Linked DNA regions of Xenopus tropicalis. The protein of the gene in region 2 interacts with the protein of the main gene of each other region in a pairwise test. Links are inferred from orthologs where the notes say so. Each region holds a gene or a part of one and is shown on either strand. Other genes may lie near its edges.

Region 1 (4,267 bases), on a different chromosome or scaffold from region 2:
CTATCTATCCACTCACATACAGACCCATACTGACCTATCTATCCACTCCCATACAGACCCACACTGACCTATCCATCCACTCACATACAGACCCACACTGACCTATCTATCCCCTCCCATACAGACCCACACTGACCTATCTATCCACTCACATACAGACCCATACTGACCTATCTATCCACTCACATACAGACCCACACTGACCTATCTATCCACTCCCATACAGACCCACACTGACCTATCTATCCACTCACATACAGACCCACACTGACCCATCTATCCCCTCCCATACAGACCCACACTGACCTATCTATCCACTCACATACAGACCCACACTGACCTATCTATCCACTCACATACAGACCCACACTGACCCATCTATCCCCTCCCATACAGACCCACACTGACCTATCTATCCCCTCCCATACAGACCCACACTGACCTATCTATCCCCTCCCATACAGACCCACACTGACCTATCTATCCCCTCCCATACAGACCCACACTGACCTATCTATCCCCTCCCATACAGACCCACACTGACCTATCTATCCCCTCCCATACAGACCCACACTGACCTATCTATCCCCTCCCATACAGACCCACACTGACCTATCTATCCCCTCCCATACAGACCCACACTGACCTATCTATCCCCTCCCATACAGACCCACACTGACCTATCTATCCCCTCCCATACAGACCCACACTGACCTATCTATCCCCTCCCATACAGACCCACACTGACCTATCTATCCCCTCCCATACAGACCCACACTGACCTATCTATCCCCTCCCATACAGACCCACACTGACCTATCTATCCCCTCCCATACAGACCCACACTGACCTATCTATCCCTCCATACAGACCCACACTGACCTATCTATCCACTCACATACAGACCCACACTGACCTATCTATCCACTCACATACAGACCCATACTGACCTATCTATCCACTCACATACAGACCCATACTGACCTATCTATCCCCTCCCATACAGACCCACACTGACCTATCTATCCCCTCCCATACAGACCCACACTGACCTATCTATACACTCACATACAGACCCACACTGACCTATCTATCCACTCACATACAGACCCACACTGACCTATCCACTCACATACAGACACATACTGACCTATCTATCCACTCACATACAGACCCATACTGACCTATCTATCCACTCACATACAGACCCATACTGACCCATCTATCCACTCACATACAGACCCACACTGACCCATCTATCCACTCACATACAGACCCACACTGACCCATCTATCCACTCACATACAGACACATACTGACCTATCTATCCCCTCCCATACAGACCCATACTGACCTATCTATCCACTCACATACAGACCCATACTGACCTATCTATCCACTCACATACAGACCCACACTGACCTATCTATCCCCTCCCATACAGACCCACACTGACCTATCTATCCACTCACATACAGACCCACACTGACCTATCCATCCACTCACATACAGACACATACTGACCTATCCACTCACATACAGACCCATACTGACCCATCTATCCACTCACATACAGACCCACACTGACCTATCTATCCACTCACATACAGACCCATACTGACCTATCTATCCCCTCACATACATAACTATATATACAAACATTAATACTAACTGTAGGTATTAGTATCACAATAGCCTTGGATACTATGCTTGTTCAAGAACCCATCCAGGCCCCTCTTATAGGCACTAACAGAATCTGCCATTACCCCATCACTAGGAAGGGCATTCCCCAACCTCACTGCCCTCCCCGTGAGGAACCCCCTACGCTGCTTCAAATGGAAGCTCCTTTCCTCTAATCTAAAGGGGGGACCTCTGGTGCGCTGATTGTTTTTATGGGAAAAAAGAACCCCCCCATCTGCCTATAATCCCCTCTAATGTACTTGTACAGAGTAATCATGTCCCCTCGCAAGCGCCTCTTTTCCAGAGAAAACAACCCCAACCCTGACAGTCTAACCTCATAGTTTAACCCTTCCATCCCCTTTACCAGTTTAGTTGCAGTCTCTGCACTCTCTCCAGCTCATTAATATCCTTCTTAAGGACTGGAGCCCAAAACTGCCCCCATACTCAAGGTGAGGCCTTACCAGGGACCTATAAAGCGGCAAAATTATGTTCTCATCCCTTGAGTCAATGCCCTTTTTATACAAGACAGCACTTTATTTGCTTTAGTAGCCACAGAATGACACTGCCTGGAATTAGACAACTTGTTATCAACAAAAACCCCCAGATCCTTCTCCATTAAGGATACCCCCAACACACTACCATTCAGTAGATAGTTCACGTTTATATTATTTCTACCAAAATGCATAACTTTGCACTTGTCCACATTGGACCTCATTTCCCAGTTTGCTGCCCAGTTTCCCAATTGAGCTCAGACTAGCCCAGGTGCTACCATACAGAATGGCTGGGCTGCTTTACATTAAACATCCCGTCTCTAAAATACCACACACAAATGCTCCCCCCATTCTTACAGGCACAACGTATCATTTCTTCACGGACGGTTGCCTTGGCAACTCTCGGCCCTTTCCCTCTCCGCGTACCTAAGTCTTAAAGCTCTGACTTCCGGCTCAGCTTCGAAGCTTCCGGCCTCTCACTCAGCTGGCGGACCCAAACACTGCGGAGGAAGCGAAACTTTCCCCCCCGACGAGAGAAGGGGCGGGGCTTGCGACGTCGAAGGAGAGGCGGGGTTTTAGAGTGAGTAAGACACGTCAGTGGGCGGGTCCCGAACTCTATGCTCTGCCAATCTGGACCAAGCGGAGTAGTTTGTAAACAAGTTGTGTGAATGGATTGCGTGTCTGCAGCCTGTCTGCCCCTGGCTCCTCACTCACTGCCCTGTACCTCCAGCAATAGGCAAGGGTAAGTGCTGCCCATCCTTTGGAATGTGTGGGGTGGGGGAAGAAGGGGGAGAGGTGCCCCCCATAGCTGCAAAGCTCCCCTTTTTTCACTCTTATGCTGGCACAGGGGTTTTAAAGGGGAACTCCACCCCACAAACTGCTTGTTTTTTTTATTTTTTTTCATAATGAAAGAAAAGGCAGCTTTTCTATGCTCCATGCTTGTAATGTAAAGTGCAAATGTAATTAGTGTTGATCTGTCTGGCTCTTAATATTACCTGCACTGCTGGTTGTGACCCCCTGAAATGCAACAGAAGCCGCTGCATTGCTTCACAAGTCAGAATCAAGGGGGACAGAAAGGGTTAAACGATGGCCAGAATCAAGGGGGACAGAAAGGGTTAAACGATGGCCAGAATCAAGGGGGACAGAAAGGGTTAAACGGTGGCCAGAATCAAGGGGGACAGAAAGGGTTAAACGGTGGCCAGAATCAAGGGGGACAGAAAGGGTTAAACGGTGGCCAGAATCAAGGGGGACGGAAAGGGTTAAACGATGGCCAGAATCAAGGGGGACGGAAAGGGTTAAACGATGGCCAGAATCAAGGGGGACGGAAAGGGTTAAGCGATGGCCAGAATCAAGGGGGACAGAAAAGGGTTAAACGATGGCCAGAATCAAGGGGGACAGAAAGGGTTAAACGGTGGCCAGAATCAAGGGGGACAGAAAGGGTTAAACGGTGGCCAGAATCAAGGGGGACAGAAAGGGTTAAACGATGGCCAGAATCAAGGGGGACAGAAAGGGTTAAACAGTGGCCAGAATCAAGGGGGACAGAAAGGGTTAAACGATGGCCAGACTCAAGGGGGACAGAAAGGGTTAAACGATGGCCAGAATCGAGGGGGACAGAAAGGGTTAAACGATGGCCAGAATCAAGGGGGACAGAAAGGGTTAAACGATGGCCAGAATCAAGGGGGACAGAAAGGGTTAAACGATGGCCAGAATCAAGGGGGACAGAAAGGGTTAAACGGTGGCCAGAATCAAGGGGGACAGAAAGGGTTAAACGATGGCCAGAATCAAGGGGGACAGAAAGGGTTAACGATGGCCAGAATCAAGGGGGACAGAAAAGGGTTAAACGGTGGCCAGAATCAAGGGGGACAGAAAGGGTTAAACGATGGCCAGAATCAAGGGGGACAGAAAGGGTTAAACGATGGCCAGAATCAAGGGGGACAGAAAGGGTTAAACGATGGCCAGAATCAAGGGGGACAGAAAAGGGTTAAACAGTGGCCAGAATCAAGGGGGACAGAAAGGGTTAAACGATGGCCAGAATCAAGGGGGACAGAAAGGGTTAAACGATGGCCAGAATCAAGGGGGACAGAAAGGGTTAAACG
Region 2 (4,186 bases):
AAACTTTCTGGCAAACAGAGAATATATGGGGCTGTGTAAAGACCACCTGAAGCCAAGCTGAACCTATAACAGAAATATATAATTACCTGTTTTTTACTGACCTCAAAGAAACAGAAGTCAGACATGTCCTGGCAAATACCATTTCAGCCTACAAAAGACTTTCCTTATTATTAGTTTCACCGCCTTCGCTTATTAACATCATAGTCTGAAAAAACAAATAGAAATCATTACTATTCAGTATGGATGTTATGAAGCATATATATATATATATATATATATATATATAGCATGAAATATTTTTTTTCCTTTTTATCCTTGATAAAGGTCCTAATGAGGACCGAAACGTTGGTTTTTAAACAATGAGTTTTCAATAAAAAATTTTTTTGAATTTTAAGGGTGTGCCGGCCATGTATTATTTCATGCTAAATACTCAGATTTTGGCTGTGCACCCCACAGAATACTAAAAGCCTTGGAGTGCAGACACCATCAGGACTGATATATATATATATATATATATATATATATATATATATATATATATATATATTATAAATAAATAAAGAATGTCGGCACTCACAGGATTTCCACGATAAAACTCACAGGCAATAAGTCATGTTTTAGGATGCAATCAGGTGTGGTTTATTGGTCCAACGTTTCAGTTCCCTACTGGAACTTTCGTCAGGGAAGGGAACTGAAACGTTGGACCAATAAATCACACCTGATTGCATCCTAAAACATGACTTATTACCTGTGAGTTTTATCGTGGAAATCCTGTGAGTGCCGACATTCTTTATTTTTATTCTGTGCTTGCTGCTCTGGCACCCAGGTATCGCATTTAAAAGTTTGGTGTGCTCTTCATCCTGTATTTTTTATATATCTATATCTATATATATATATATATACTCATGCCACCAATTCACCTATTAAGGGTGCCTGGTCTCACACACATGCAGACAAGAAGCAGTTTGTACACAATTGCTTTGTGTTCCACTCTTCTCCACCCCTAAGTGCCATTGACTCTCAGGCATTAGCTTCAGAAATCACTAAATAAGAGATATATGGAGCACCTATGGACTGAAGACCTAGTTAATTGCTAAATGACTAGTGCCAGTTAGGGCCCCTATCCTGCATACATGTAGCATCAGTGTCAAGCAACCTGTATATATAGACAGATGTAACAATACCGGTAAGTAATATTTACCTTAAGATTAGTCCACTACTTTTCTCATGATACTCCATAATGACTTTGTTTAGTAAAAGTGTTTGCTGTTGTTGTCCATATCTTTTTTTAAACTAAATGGTTAGTTCACCTTAATATAAACTTTTAATATATATTAGTTATATAGTGGTTAGTTCACCTTAATATAAACTTTTAGTATATACAATGGTATACTGAGATAACTGGGAGTTATCTTTGTTTTAGGGTAGACCTAAGGGTAGGGTAGGCCATTGTATGGGCCCAAATGTATTAATAAATATCCTATAAATTACATCCTTAAAAATTGTGATTAGTGATGTCATTGGTAATAACTGGTGCTTAGTGAGGTAAGTGTCACAGGACTCACTAAACTTGTGTATTGTAAAAATAAGTATGTATGTATCCTCACAAGTTATGAGGACATGAGATTTGTACACTGTACAACAGCACTAGGTTTGCAGCCTTGTTCCTTTATGTGATCAAAAAGTTTAACTTCACTTAGGGGCAGATTTACTAATCCACAAATCCGAATCCTGAAAGGGAAAAAATCGTACTGGAACAAATTTTTTGCGACTTTTTCGTCGCTGTCGCGATTTTTCGTATCTTTATCGTATTTTGCACAACTATTTCGTCACCATCGCGAATTTATTGTATCGAGCGATAGTAAACGGCGGAAAAACAAATCCGATTTTTTTTCGCGACGGCGACGAAAAGTTGCGGAAAATATACGAAGAAGTCGCGACAGCAACGAAAAAATCGTGGGACATACGAAAAAGACGCAAAAATACCGATCATTACGAAAAACCGCCTTCGGACGCCTTCGGACCGTTCGTGGATTAGTAAATCTCCCCCTTAGTGCCAGCCATGGCCTTAAACAGCATCAGAAGGCTACCACTGCGTAGGGCCTCAATTTTGCAAGAGGCCAGCACTGCTTGTTTTTTTTATTTTTTTTTTTTATTATTATTAGTTAATCTTCAGTTTCTTCATTAGAGTGATCCAATCTAGCAGAATAAGTGTGCAATTCAACATGTGTGCTTTGTGCATTTGCACTGATCTGCAAAAAAAAAAGGGTGACAGCACATAATAAAGGCTGCACAAAATACTTTGATCGGATACATTGGTCTACTGTGGAAAATCGAGCATCTTTCTGGTAAAACAGTAAAAATGTTTGGTTGATGTGCAGGGTACGTCACGTTTAGCATTCCAGCAAAAAATAAAAGCAGTGTCCCAAAGGCACCTTTATTATGGGAGCACAGCTCCAAAGTCACCTTTAGAACGAGAAAAGAGTCCCGAAGGCAACTTAAGCGTTAGATAATTGCCCCAAAGGCAGCTTAGTCGGAAAACATTGAAAAGGGTATACACATCGCGGAGCATCTCTTCCAATATGTATTTGTCATACAAATATGACACGAACATATACACATTCATAATAATAATCATAGCTCACCTTGTAAATCACCAGTCTACCCAACCCCTTCTCAATCTGGCACCCCTGCCACACTATCAAACGCTGTTACTACCCACGATCAGTGTTTGCAAGTTCCCTTAGCCATGCTGCATACACAAACATGGGATTTACAACAAAGCTTCTTCCGTGTTCTGACACTCCATATATGGGGAACAATCCCAGGATGCTTTGCGAATTTAAAGCCACACGGTTGATATTTCTCTATACTAACTAAGGGAATGCTGTCATTTAACAAAAGTTAACTATACAAAAACTCAAATGATGAACTTACAGTGGAATACAGCATCTGCAACCTTATTCATATGGTGCTAGGGTGTCAAAAACTGAAATAAAAACAACTGTCTCTCTGTAGGATTTTTCTATCCCAATCATCACCTATTTGAATTGGGGCTGGAACTAGGGATAAGCAGGGTAGGCATATACCTAGGGGCACATTTACTAATCCACGAACGTCCGAAAAGCGTCCGAATGCGTTTTTTCTCGTAATGATCGGTATTTTGCGATTTTTCCGTAAATTGTCGCGACTTTTTCATAGCCGTTACGACTTTTTCGTAAATTGTCACGACTTTTTCGTAGCGTTACGACTTGCGCGAATTGTCGCGACTTTTTTGTAGCCGTCGCACCGAGTACGAAAGTTTCGGATTCATTCAAGCTTCAGTATCGTGACTTTCCTTGGGCCAGGTTGGAGCTGCAGAGTGCCATTGAGTCCTATGGGAGGCTTCCAAAATCATGCAAAGTCTGAAAGGTTTGCCCGCCATTTACGAGCGCTCAATACGAAAAAGTTGCGACAATATACGAGCAAATTGTAACGGCTACAAAAAAGTCGCGGCAATTTAAGCAAGTCGTACCGGCGACGAAAAAATCGCAAAAAATACGAAAAAGTTGCAAAATGTTCGTTTCCAATCCAAATTTTTCCCATTCGGATTCGTGGATTAGTAAATGTGCCCCCTAGGGTACTCTAGAAATGTGGTGGGGTGCTGTTCCAAATGGATGGACAGACGGACAGACAGACAGACCAGCGGGTGGGGGAGGGATGAAGTAAGCAAGCCAGTAAGTTACTGAGATTCTTTATTCATAACTTTATGTTAATATCAGAAGCCAGCCTGGTGCCCTACGCCAGTGGTCCCCAACCTTTTTTGCACCACGGCCCAGTTTCAAGCATGACAATTTTTCCAAGGCCCGAGGCTGGGGGGGGGCAACTAGTTAATAGTATATAATTTAATTATTACATATATAATGTAAATGTCATTATTACATTTTATATTAGGCACTTTATTTTTATTGTTATTGATATTATTACAATATAAAATATAATACAGCTTACCATAATACAGACTCAATGGGAGACCAGGTGGCCCGGTTCAGCACAGCCCGCGGCCCGGTGGTTGGGGACCCCTGCCCTACACAACCTGATCAGCCACTATTAATAGGGAAAAAAACATAAAAATATAGGAAGCCCATTTTTTTTTAAGAAAAAGTTGCAACCCTATAAACAAGGTGCAGGCGGCAGGGGAAAGTTT

What was found.
Region 1: the proteins of gtpbp3 (region 2) and parp11 interact in binary tests that used the Homo sapiens proteins (3 or more experiments, as listed by UniProt). The two-hybrid records come from large-scale screens. The link is inferred for Xenopus tropicalis from reciprocal best matches to the Homo sapiens genes GTPBP3 and PARP11.

Annotation. Positions count from the first base shown.
Region 1 is NC_030679.2:11,768,832-11,773,098, reverse strand, and holds the start of parp11 (protein mono-ADP-ribosyltransferase PARP11), read right to left. Parts: upstream 2,811-4,267; 5' UTR 2,598-2,810; exon of another isoform or gene 2,529-2,597; intron 1-2,528. UniProt on the Homo sapiens protein: Mono-ADP-ribosyltransferase that mediates mono-ADP-ribosylation of target proteins. Plays a role in nuclear envelope stability and nuclear remodeling during spermiogenesis. Inhibits the type I interferon activated signaling pathway.
Region 2 is NC_030677.2:113,483,988-113,488,173, reverse strand, and holds the start of gtpbp3 (tRNA modification GTPase GTPBP3, mitochondrial), read right to left. Parts: upstream 2,805-4,186; 5' UTR 2,646-2,804; intron 206-2,645; 5' UTR 143-205; coding exon 87-142; intron 1-86. UniProt on the Homo sapiens protein: GTPase component of the GTPBP3-MTO1 complex that catalyzes the 5-taurinomethyluridine (taum(5)U) modification at the 34th wobble position (U34) of mitochondrial tRNAs (mt-tRNAs), which plays a role in mt-tRNA decoding and mitochondrial translation.